Cricetulus griseus: one gene and its partner. The protein of the gene in region 1 purifies or fractionates together with the protein of each later gene. This does not show direct contact. Links are inferred from orthologs where the notes say so. Each region holds a gene or a part of one and is shown on either strand. Other genes may lie near its edges.

Region 1 (6,429 bases):
TTAATCATAGAAATTAAAAGAATGAGAGAGAGAGAAAAGAAAAGGACATGGGTGAATGGGTGTTCTCAAAAGAGAAGAGTGTGGCTGAAGATGGGGCTCAGTTGGTAAAGTGTTTACTAAGCATACATGAAGCCTAAACTCAATCCCCAGAGCTGCATAGACCAGGCATGGTGGTACAAAACTCTGATCTCAGCACTCAGGAGGCAGAGGCAGAAGTTCAAGGTTACCCTCAGTAACATACTGAGTTGGAGACCAGCCTTAGTTACATGAGACCCTGTCTCAAAAATAAAAATAAAAAAGAGAGAGAGACAGCTTCAAGTGTCTTAACAATAGCATATATATATATATATAATATTATATATAATATATTATGTTTATGATTTTGGTTTTATTTTAATTCTTTTATACATTTATTTATTGTGTATGTGCATGTACACATGTATGCTTACTATTTATTTTGTGTTGCATAAGTGAGCATTGCAGTCAGAGGATGAACTTTCTATGTTTTTGGTGCCAGGTCATCAGCCTTGGTGACAAGTACCTTTACTCACTAGGCCATTCTGTCAGCCCTGTTTTTTTTGTTTTGTTTTGTTAGTTTTTTTGTTTTGTTGTATGTGTATGTGTGTACAGGTGGACATGTATGTCTGTGCACATGTATGTAGAGGCCAGATGTTGATATTGGGTATCTTTCTCTATCACTACCTTCTTTTCTGACAGTTTATTTCTAAATCTGGAGGTTACTGATTTCACAAGAATAGCTGACCAGTAGGCCCCGTGGGTCTCTGTCACTGTCTTCCCAGTGTTAGGGTTACAGCTTTTTACACTGAGAATCTCAGCTCAGGTCCTCATACTTTGTATGACAAGCACTTACCAAATGGCTCACCTCCCAGCCCTTGCTTTTGTTTTTTGAGGCAGGTTAGCTGGAGTTTTCTTTCTATTACTGTGATAAAACACCACAACCAAAAGCAACTTGAGGAGGAAATGTTTATTTCAGAGTATACTTCCACATCAAAGTGTGTCATCAAAGAAAGTTAAGGTAGAAACTGGAGGCAGGAACTGAAGCAGAAGCCATGGAGGAGTGCTGCTTACTGGCTTGTTCCTCATGCCTAGCTCAGCCTGTTTTCTTATAGAACTCAGGCTACCTGCCCAGTGGTGGCACCATAGTGGGATGGGCCACTAATCAAGAAAATGCCCCACCAGCTTGCCTACAGACCAATTTTATGAAATAATTTTCTCAATTGTGGTGCCTTCTTCTCAGATACCAGCTCATGTCAAGTTGACAAAAAATACCAACCAGGACAGGGTCTCATGTAGCTAAGATTGGCTGGTTTGAACTCTCAATATTCCTTCCTCCATTTCTTGAGGGATAGAACTACAAACACGATATCATACTTGGCAATTTTGATGCCCTCCCTTTCTTTTTAAAAAATTAGGTCATAGAGTTGTTTCTGAGGTACACTTCATAGGATTAGAGGCCAAGATAAAAACATAGGTCACAAGGGCCAAAAGATTCTTTACTATATTAAGTCATAAAAGTTAAGACATTTTTGTTTGTTTGTTTGTTTTTGAGACAGAGTCTCACAAAGCAGCCCTGGCTTGCCTAGAACTCACTCTGTGAACCAGACTGGACTCAAACTCAGAGATCTGCTTGATTCTGCTTCCTGGGTTCTAGAATTAAAGGCCTGTGCCACCATGCCTAACTAAGACATGTGTTTTGAATGTAATCTTGTTTGTGAGGTCCTCAGAAATAGTACAGATTTACATCTGGGAAAGAAACTAAGCTAAGCTCAAAGCTCACATACTGGGGCCATAAGCACAGTTCATTGCTATCTTAACTTCTTATATGAAATATCTCTATTTCAAAATTGTGTAAGCAATCATTTTTGTACTTTTAAAACTTATTCATTTCTTTTTGAGCTGTGTCTCTTTTATCTTTGTTTCCCCTCCAATTCAAAACAATCCTCCAGCCTATGCCTCCCGAATGCTGAGATTACAGACAAGGGATACCTTGCTAGGCAATCTCAACTGCAAATTGTGCGTACTGTGCCAGCAAGAGGCTTCAACAAGTCTTCAGGATGAGGGCTCTTTTCCTAATTTCCTGTGTGAGAAAACACGAGAGTGAAATATTGAACCAGACAGCACGGAGCAGGTGATAGATTCGTGGCAGAGCCAGATGGCCTAGGATGAAAAGGTACACAGTGGCCTTCTCCACCATTCAGGCCTCTGTTGCTACTGTGAAGAAGGTAGGCTCTTAGGGCCTGGTTTGCTCAGGTGGGCCAAATTCCCAGTTTGCCTTTCAGTAATTGTCCCGGACCCCTTTCTTTGGGATAGGAGCAGGTTCTGTCCTGCATTGTTTCCTAAGCCGAACACACCTTTGAAATTAGCCTGCAGTAAGGGCCAGGCAACATTGTGCCCCAATCTCCAATGCACAGTTCCCTGAAAGTCTTGAGTCGGGGAGTTCAGGTGACCAATTACTCTTGCCTGGGGTAAGAGCTTGGCTTTCAGCTGGTGAACCAACCTCCCACCCCCCACCCCCTCCCCCCACCCCGTTTTCCTTCAAAGCAAGCCCCCGGTCCACCCCTGGCTTGCTAGGTCATACTTAAGGATGACTGAGTCTGTGTTGCAATGCCATCTGGGAGGACCTACCGGGTGCAGGCACCCCACCCGAGCCCCGCCCCTCCTTCCTTCCTGGTCCCCCTCCTTCATCTTCCTTCGCTTCACCTCCTCCTTGGAGTAGGAGCCTCTCACCAGTTCTCTCCCTGTCCCTCCACCCCTTCCCCAGCCCTGCTCCTCCTCCCTCCAGCGACCCCGCCTCCCCCCACCCCGGCCTGGCTCCTCAGCGGGGCGGCGGTGCGCAGGCGCGGAGCCGAGTCCCGCTGGGCCGCAGCCGGTGGCCGGCTCGCAGTGGGCCTGTACCCGGCCCTCCACGCTCGGTTCCCCCTCGCTCTGCGGACACCAGAGGACTGACCGGACCACGCGGAACTGTAGCGACAGAATGGCGCAGACCGCCATGTCCGAGACTTACGGTAAATCGCGCTGGTTCGTGGGTATGTGTGTAGGGGGGCAGGCCTTGGGATCCCGGAATGTTTGTGGCTGGGGTTAGGGTATCCAGAGCCGGTGTTTAGAATATCGAGATGTTGGGACTGGACTGGGATCCTAAGAACCTCGCGGTGTCAGGGGCCAGGTGAAGATACTGAGAATCTTGGGATGTTTATGGCTGGGCTGGGATCCTAGTAATCTTGGGATTCTGAGAATCTAGGTCTCAGGGGTCAGGTGGAGATACTGAGAATCCCGGGGTGTCAGCTGCTGGGATCCTGAGATTCTTGGAGTGTCAAGGTCGGGCTAGAACTTGAGAGCGCCTGGATGTTTGAGGCTGGGCTGGAATCTTGAGGATGGGGGTGGAGGGTGTCGGGAGCTGGGTTGGACTCTCTGGCCAGTAGGTGCTCCTAGCTGTGCAAAGCATTGTGATCCTCTCTTCCAAGTTCCCTCCTGCTTTGACCCTACATTGGATTATTTAAATAGATCAAGGTTGGGGGAGCCGGTTTATCACTGATTCTCCCCCTCCCCACTGCAGCACCGAGCGCAGGGATGAAGGCTCGGCCACGCCTGCATTTAGTGTCTTTGGGGGCATGGCTGTGGGCCCCTCAAGGTTTGGAATTCCTTTCTTTGCATTGAGATTATAATGAGTTTTAAATGGTTGAGTGCATCTCTTTTCTGGAGACCCCCTAGCCTCGTGTATCTTTCCATCCCTCCCTCATCCCTGTTTGGGTTGCATTATAGCTTTTTATAAACATATGTCCTCTTTATGACCATAAGCCTTGGATATGGAGCTGTGTTTTTCATCTTTGTTTCTCCTACAGCACCCAGCCGTTTCTAATGCATGTGCTGGGTATTGTCCCGCCCCTCCTCCCCCCACACACCCAGTCGAGGTAAGAATAAACAACTGGTAGTGTGCATGGTTGCCAGCCCCTAACTGAGACTTGAGACTTTGACTTGGTATGTGCTGGTTACAGGGAGGGACTCCCATGTAAAAGCATGGTGATCATTTCGTGTTATCCCAATGTGTTAACCTGCTACTTTCCTGCCACAGGGTGGGGCCAGGGTCCAGCCAGGGAGATTCTAATCATTGTAAAAGTGCTATGGAAACTTCCCCAAGAGTTTGCAGTCCAGTGAGGAATAGATTGTTAATCCAGTTGTGACCTTAATAGATGAACAATTAAAATCCAGGCAGCAGTTCCAAAAGAGCTTGGTCTGTCCAACTGTGTGAGAAAGAGCTGACCCAGATGGGTCAGAGAGGGGCATGTGGACAGGCAGATCTGGGGATCTGGTCTGGGAGCATGGTTTGGGCACCTTAACTTGAGTAGGCAGTTAAAGAACCTTGAGGTTTGGACTTTGAGAGGGTGGGACCCTGGGAAGGGTATTATGAGGCACACAGTAGCCTGGTGCACTGTCTCCTGGCACCAGCACTCTTGTGGCACTGAGGCATTTGTCTGACCCTAAGACACTATCTATGGGTATCGGTTTTGTCAGGGCTACAGGTGTGTTTACCTTTTCCTTCATTTCAAGGTATTTTCCAAATATGCCTTTAGTTTTAATTTTTGTTTATTTTGAGACAGTTTCTCTATATATAGTTCTGGACAACTTAGCCCAGGCTGGCCCCACACTTGAAGCAATATCCACAATATCCATGTGTCCCCATGTCCTGGTTTTTACTTTTGTTTTTTGGGGGGTTTTTTTGTTTTTGTTTTTTGAGACAGGGTTTCTCTGTGGCTTTGGAGGCTGTCCTGGAACTAGCTCTTGTAGACCAGGCTGGTCTCGAACTCACAGAGATCCACCTGCCTCTGCCTCCCGAGTGCTGGGATTAAAGGTGTGCGCCACCAACGCCCGGCTAGGTTTTTACTTTTTAACTAAGTCTGAATTTAGTCTTTCCTTTCAATGGAGGAAACAAACAAAAAGCAAATAGAAACTAATAAGTGGAAGTTTAGCTTTAGAAAGAGGCAAGAGTGGTCTCTAAAGCTGCTGGCATAAAAGAATAGTCACCCAGAACCAAGGCAGAGGCTGTCACCTTCACTCATCCTTGACTATGTTTACACAGTATTGTTCCCCAAATTAAAACAACCAAGACCTCTCCTTCCAGACCTTTGCCTGTTGGCTGGCATAGGAATGTTTGCCTAACCTTTAAGTTCCGTGTGTTTGAGGCTGGTTTTCTCTCTTCCGTGAAAGGAGGTTCTGTGCAGCTTGGTGGAAATTCAATGAAAAATGGGAGCCAGTGTTTATGGCTACTGCTATTGAGCTGGCTGCTAATGGCCTGTAGAACAGTCCTGGCACATTGCACAGGCTGAGTGGTGGTCAGCACTTTCTTGATCTGAAGTCCCTAACTCCACGAACACTGTGCTTTAGATCACGTAATAATGTAAATTGGAATGTTAAACAGGTAGGCTTTTCACTTTTGAAATGTGGTTAGCCTAGTCCACCTGATGAGACTGAGACACTAGGATATTAGTAAAGTATACTACTGGGTGTGGCTGTGGTGGGTTTCTAGACATGATTAGATACTAGAGGCTCCAGACTAATCAATGAATTAAACCCTTGATATATTCATTATCTGATGTTATTATTGGCAGGTGATCAAAGAGGTTGGAGGTAGGACATGACTGGAAGAAACTGGAGGAATGTCCTTGGAGCTCTTTTTCACCCCTGCCTCTTCTTGTAGTCCCTTCTCTCTGCTTCCTGGCCTCTGTTGATGTCAACTGTCCCATCACATATCCCCAGCTGCGATGGGCTGACTCCTGTGAAACTAAGCCAAACAAATCCCTCCTCCCTTCAGTTCTCTTGGGCATTTTGGTCCCAGCTAGCAAAAGTGAATGTCCCTAACCCGAAGGGAGGTTCTCCTAGTTATTGTTAGAGACACAGCATCCTATGGCTATATGCGTTCAATGAGCATTATCGGGGCCAAGGATTCATGTTGGCAGCCTGAGACCTGAGAGTTTGAAAGCTATCCTCAAGTACTTCCTGACACCCAATGGTGAGTCACAGAAATTACTAAGCAGTGTATGTGGTGGGAAAGTGCCAGGGAGCTTTTAAACCTCCAGGACAGAGAAGACTGACCTGGAGGAAGAATTTGAGACAGGTGACTGTGCATTACAATTTATGCCAGGTGCTATGCGAGAAACTCCTGAGACATAAGAATTCTGCTCATGTTGCTGGCCCCATGGTGGTTTCTGTCCTAGTATATTCAGCATAGTATATTCCACCTCGAAAATAACACACAGCGTTCTGGTGTCTAACAGATAAGGTTGAGATCATCAGGGTGTTTTTCTGCTAACTGCGCATCCTCATTTGTGTGCATGAGGTTTGAATTGTGTCCTCAAAGTCACACATACATCCTAGCTCTGGACCTGTGGATGTGACCTTATTTGGGACAAGGTC
Region 2 (5,858 bases), about 28 Mb from region 1:
ATAACACCACTGGAAGATGTAAGTCTCTGTGGTCAGTGCATCTTTTATGTGTAGGAATTACTTGTGAATCTCCACTTTAGTTTTTGGAGATGGTCTAAATTTTGGCTCATTATTATTGCTAGTTGGGGGGTGGGGGGGATGAGACAGGGCCTCTCTTTCTCTACCTAGCCCTGGCTATCCTGGAGCTCACTATATACACCAGGCTGGCTTCAAGCTCACAGAGCTCCCTACACTTTTGAGCACTGGGATTAAGGGTATGAAACACCATGCCTGGCAGTTTTGGCTTATTAAATATTCTACTTAATAAATCTTCAGCTTCCAGGGTGCTGGATTATAGGTATGTACCACTAGATCTTGCTTTTTTATGGCTTTGAAAAGTGGAAAGTAAAAAAGACATTGTGGCACTTGACCTAAATACTTCGGCTTCCATCTGTTAAGGATGGCATTTTCTATGCCATCATAATGCCACTACATTTATGAAAATGAACGATATTTAAATTATATTCAGATTTCCAGTAACTCAGAGAGTGATATTTAGGTCTTCAGTACACTTTGGTTTTTAAAATCAGTTTTTAATTAACTAAAGATTTGAGCGTTGTATGTGTTTCTTCTCTGTTCTCTTAATCTACAAGTCTCACTACCTTTCCCCTTCTCCCTTTCCCTTTGGAGAAGTACAGGCTACTAGTTTGAAAGAAATTGTTGATTATTTCATACTGTATCATGCTGGGAGGCACTCGTTGGAGGTGAATGTGTGCTTAGTATTCTTTGGTGTAAACTTATGTTCACACTTATCAAAGTGTTTACATTGTGTGTGCAATTTTTAATCATCAGTTGTATTTCAGTAAAGCCTAAAAACTAAAAGCTAGAAAGAACTAGTTTTAACTATCTTTTCTAGATTTGAAGTATATAATTTTTTTTTAACTTGTGTAGCTAGAGAAGCAAAATTAGGGGGAATGAGATTCAACAATTAGTGGGAAAGACTTCTGCAATGCTTGTGTATCTTAGCATTCACGAGTTACATACTGTATTTAATTACATAATATATTGAGACTTGAAAGTCTTATCTGACTAAAAGTTTACTTGACAGATAAAAGTTTTATCTGATTAAAAATAAAATGATTTGTGTTTTACCTCTTATAGTTGTATTATACCTCAGCCTCTCGTTACATTATAGGTATTTTTTTTTCTACTTTTAGTTATACAAAAGATTTAAGTTACCAGGACAACCACCAGCATCAATGGGGAGAGGAAGAGACTGGAATGTTGACTTAATTCCCAAGTTCCTTATGGCCAATGGTAAAGAATGCTAGCATTATTTATGACTGTATGGAATCTGGGTTGGAAGTAGAGAACATTATCCCAGGTCTGAGGCCCTGGGGAATTGGTTGATGTCAATAGTATGTTTAGTAATATGTTTCATTAAAAGTGTCTGGAGTCTAATTAAGAATGGAGGGAAGGAGGTATAGAAAATAGCTCTGAAAAGAAACAAAAGCATGATGTGACACAGTGCATGTTAAAATTGAAGATTTTGTAGTATATATTATATATGTATGTAAGAAACTATAGACATTTCACACAGTTAGAAACATTTGTTGCAAATCTGGTGTGGTGTAGTACAAACAAAAATTCTAAATATAATAACATTGTAAGTACCTTCGAGAGACTTTGGGAGCCTGAGTCTTAAATGGTCTTTTAAAGGCTTTCTAGTGTGTAAGCTGTTGAGATCACCTAATTTCTCAGGATTTTAGAGGACTGAACTATCTTAAAATTTCTGTGGTGTCTATTTTTTTCTAAGATGGTATTAAAAAATGAGCCAGGTGCAGTGGTTTACACCTGTAATCCCAGTACTCAGAAAGCTGAGGCAGGAAGATTGCTGATAATGTGAGACTTTCCTGTGCTACAAGTAAACTTTAAGTCATCCATGTCTCACAGTGTGAGGCTCTGTCTGGAAAAATAGAAAACAAAGGAAAAACTAAATTTTTTGTTACAAATTTATTTCCCATGAAATATAGTATGTGTTATTCTTTTTCTTTTTTTGAGTTACATTTTATAGTTTGTATTATAGATACATTGTTTGAATGTTCTTTTAAATTTAAATAATTGAATTCTTGTAAATTATCCAAGTTTGTATAGTCTAGGCAACATTAACAGTAAGCAGGAAGGAAACAAAATTTGCATAGTCAGAATCCCACTATCTGGATTTTTTTTTTTTCTTTGCAGTGCTAGGGATAAAACCTTAGATTTAATTGTGCTTAACATTTTGATGTTTGAGATACACATATGCATAGTCCCAGTTCCCATGCAGTTTTCAGCCAGTGTATAATGTATGTGTAGGGGGTGTAAGAGGGAGGAAAGGAGTGTGTGTGACTGATGACAGATAGCATTGGGTACCCTTAGGAGAGAATTATGGATTTTTGTTTGTTTGTTTGTTTTTGTTTTTTGAGACAGAGTTTCTCTGTGTAGCTTTGGAGCCTATCCTGGCACTCGCTCTGTAGATCAGGCTGGCCTCGGACTCACAGAGATCCGCCTGCCTCTGCCTCCCGAGTGCTGGGATTAAAGGCGTGCGCCCGGCAAGAATTATGGATCTTTTTCAGAAGGCTTTTTCTGTTTATTACCACATTTGGCTTTTGCCTTTCCCAGTACCGTTATCAACCAGCCCTTGATAGTATTCATTTTTGTTTCTGCCATTTGCCATTGTAAGGTAAAATTTGAATTTTTACCATAAATCTGTCCATTAGAGGGTGGAATGAGTTTTAGTTATTGACCAGCTTTCCTGTTTATTGGTGAATTGACTTATTTTCTATTAAGTTGTGTTCTCCTTGCAATGAACTCCTTATAGATATCACCTCTCTGAAGACACAGGGGCAGCCTTTGTAGACAGGGACTTTGCTGCACAATTCTATTGCATGTGTTTTTCTTTATAAAACATTCGTTGGTCTTTTAAGGTCACAAGGCTTAATAATGGGGCCAGTTGATGTAATTTTTCAGTGTACTTTAATCTCTGCTGCATGAGAATCTCTTTATACTTTATTTCCTTAATTTTTTTTGTTGTTGTTCTGGAGTTTGAATACAGGGTCTCACACATGCTAGATAAATGTTTTTACACTAAGTTATGTCCCCCAGCCCTAACTTCAAAAATGATGTGACTACCCTGTTGTAGTTATCCTTTCAAATCATCTTTAAAATGGTTTTGGTCTCACAAAACTTTTGGCTGATTTGGGTAAGTGAGCCTCCTTGGTCTTATAGGCAGATGGGATTCCTAATTGTAGTCCTTAATCTATTTGATGTTGATATACTCTTAATAAATATAAGTAGACTTAGAAATTGAAATATTTGGAATTGTCTGTGACTGATACAGAACTGCAAGGTTGCCTCAATTCACTCACCAGTACATATTTCATGGCCTTTGTTAGCCTACAAGTTGTAACATTAAGCTTAAACGTATGCTTAAGGTGTGAATTTCTAGTCATACCATTGAAAACACAGCTTTGGGGGCTTCTTGGTAAGGATTGCTATACAATTCTTTAGGAAAATTTTGGGTGCTAAGTTTTATTGGTAGTAAGGTTTGAGTGACAGCTTGCATTACATGACTTTTTCAGGTCAGTTGGTGAAGATGTTACTTTACACAGAGGTCACTCGCTATATGGATTTCAAAGTGATTGAAGGGAGCTTTGTCTACAAGGGAGGGAAAATCTACAAGGTTCCTTCCACTGAAGCAGAAGCACTGGCATCTAGTAAGTAATTCTCATTTATCAGAATGACACGATTTTTATGGTGAAAAGGAGTCCCAGAAACCTATTTGTCTAGTCAACAGATAGTTATAGTGCCAGACACTCATTTAGGCCCTTCTTAATGTTCTGTTCTGTTTAGGAGAGGAGGGGAAAGGATGTGAAACTAGAAGTTTTCTTAGCTTTTTCTTAGTACCAGCTATATGCTATTAGTAGGAGTACTGACTCAAGAGAGCTTGGGATTTAATTCTCTCTCTCTCTCTCTCTCTCTCTCTCTCTCTCTCTCTCTCTCAGCTTTTTTTTAAATATTAATTTAATATTTTTAGACAAGGTAATGTCCCATGTATTCCCCCCCCCTTTTTTTTTTTTTTTTTTTTTTGGTGTTCAAGACAGGGTTTCTCTGTGTAACAGCTCTGGCTGTCCTGGAACTCACTTTGCAGACCAGACTTGCCTCAAACTCAATGAAATCCACCTGCCTCTACCTCCCTGGTGCCGGGATTAAAGGTGTGTGCCACCACCACCCAGCTCAGTGTGTTTCTTTTAAAGATATTTTATTTTTATTGTGTGTGATTATTTGCCTGATATGGGTGCTGGGACCCTAACTCAGGTCCTCTGCAAGAGCAGCAAGCTCTCCTAACTGATGAGCCATCTCTCCAGCCCTGCTTATAGCTGTTTTTTTAAAAGTGTGTAGAGCAGCTCACCGATTGTTTAAGTTTCATTAAAGTAAGTGACCCACAGGGCGGTCAGCTTCTAAAGGTAGTTGCTGTTAATTCTTCATGGTGTCTTCAGTGTCTTTTCCCATTAGGTCTAAGAGTGTGTCTTACAGCCGAAAGAGGGGAAAGGAGCAGCATTCATAATTTTGGGAACTGGCTGAGTTACAGATGTGCATTGTTAGAGGAAAAATAACAGTATAGATGCCTTTGGAACAATGTTTTCAAACTTTCAGCTTCTCTAAATATGTACTCTGTACCTGAAGTTTTGGGGTAAAATTGAAGACTTTATGGGTGATGTGTTTTAAAGTGTTGTGCCCCTGGGAACCATGTTATCTAGATCCCCTGTTATATTAATTATATTTGTTGAGTCATGAAATTGATGTTTAAAGTGTCAGTGTCCTATTGTGAGTATGTGCTTTTTGAAAAAATATTTTTTCAGGTTTAATGGGACTGTTTGAAAAACGCCGCTTCAGGAAGTTCCTAGTTTATGTCGCCAACTTTGATGAAAAAGATCCTAGAACTTTTGAGGGCATTGACCCTAAGAAGACCTCCATGAGAGATTTGTATAAGAAGTTTGATTTGGGCCAAGATGTTGTAGACTTCACTGGCCATTCTCTTGCACTGTACAGAACAGATGAGTAAGTAGACTAATGAATCCATTGGTGGCTCTGCACAGGCTGTGAGATGTTTGCCAGCAGTGACAGGTCTGTTGTACTGAAGTTGGATTTAGGCAACTTTGCAGTTCCCTAATCCATATCATAGACAGTTCCAAACACTTCAATTTCTAGTCAGCTTATTTGAAGAGAGTATCAACAGTAGAGAGAGAGGGTTCCAATCAGAAACTTTTGGTTTTCAGATTTACAGTTTTTTTAAAAACATTGAACTGAATCTCTCTCTCATTTTCCAAATGGTAGACATAGGGTTTGTAGGTTGTTGTGTGGCCCGGTGAAAGAGATTCTAGTAGCATATTAGTGTTAGGGCCTTTTAAGAGAAATGAGAGGGTAGTAGTTTGAAATCGCTTCAGAAAAAGAGTTTAAAATAAACAAGAAGTAGTCTTTTTCTAATGTTGTTTTAATTCTTCCCAGCTACTTAGATCAGCCGTGTTGTGATACCATTAATAGAATTAAACTTTACAGCGAATCTTTGGCAAGATATGGTAAAAGCCCATACCTTTATCCCCTCTATGGCCTTGGAGAATTGCCACAAGGATTTGCAAGGTGAGTGCCTGTTTAACCCGTTAGCTGTAACCCTGCTGATCTTAGACTTCATCCTGCCTACTGTAAGTGAAAAGTGTCTCTGAATAGTGAGATGCTATTTATTTGTTTTATGTTTTTTATATTAAAATCATTATCTTTATTATTACTATTTTGGTGTTTCGAGACAGGGTTTCTCTGTGTAGCATTGGCTGTGCTGGAAC

The links. The genes of interacting proteins can lie anywhere in the genome.
Region 2: the proteins of Rab4a (region 1) and Gdi2 purify together in Homo sapiens (co-immunoprecipitation; 3 studies listed by BioGRID and IntAct, with this or other methods). This does not show direct contact. The link is inferred for Cricetulus griseus from reciprocal best matches to the Homo sapiens genes RAB4A and GDI2.

The regions. Positions count from the first base shown.
Region 1 is NC_048596.1:200,485,287-200,491,715, forward strand, and holds the start of Rab4a (ras-related protein Rab-4A), read left to right. Parts: upstream 1-2,697; 5' UTR 2,698-2,995; coding exon of another isoform or gene 2,996-3,026; intron 3,027-3,860; 5' UTR 3,861-3,880; coding exon 3,881-3,929; intron 3,930-6,429. UniProt on the Homo sapiens protein: The small GTPases Rab are key regulators of intracellular membrane trafficking, from the formation of transport vesicles to their fusion with membranes.
Region 2 is NC_048596.1:228,628,361-228,634,218, forward strand, and holds part of Gdi2 (rab GDP dissociation inhibitor beta), read left to right. Parts: coding exon 1-18; intron 19-1,196; coding exon 1,197-1,296; intron 1,297-3,599; coding exon 3,600-3,734; intron 3,735-4,880; coding exon 4,881-5,079; intron 5,080-5,526; coding exon 5,527-5,658; intron 5,659-5,858. UniProt on the Homo sapiens protein: GDP-dissociation inhibitor preventing the GDP to GTP exchange of most Rab proteins. By keeping these small GTPases in their inactive GDP-bound form regulates intracellular membrane trafficking.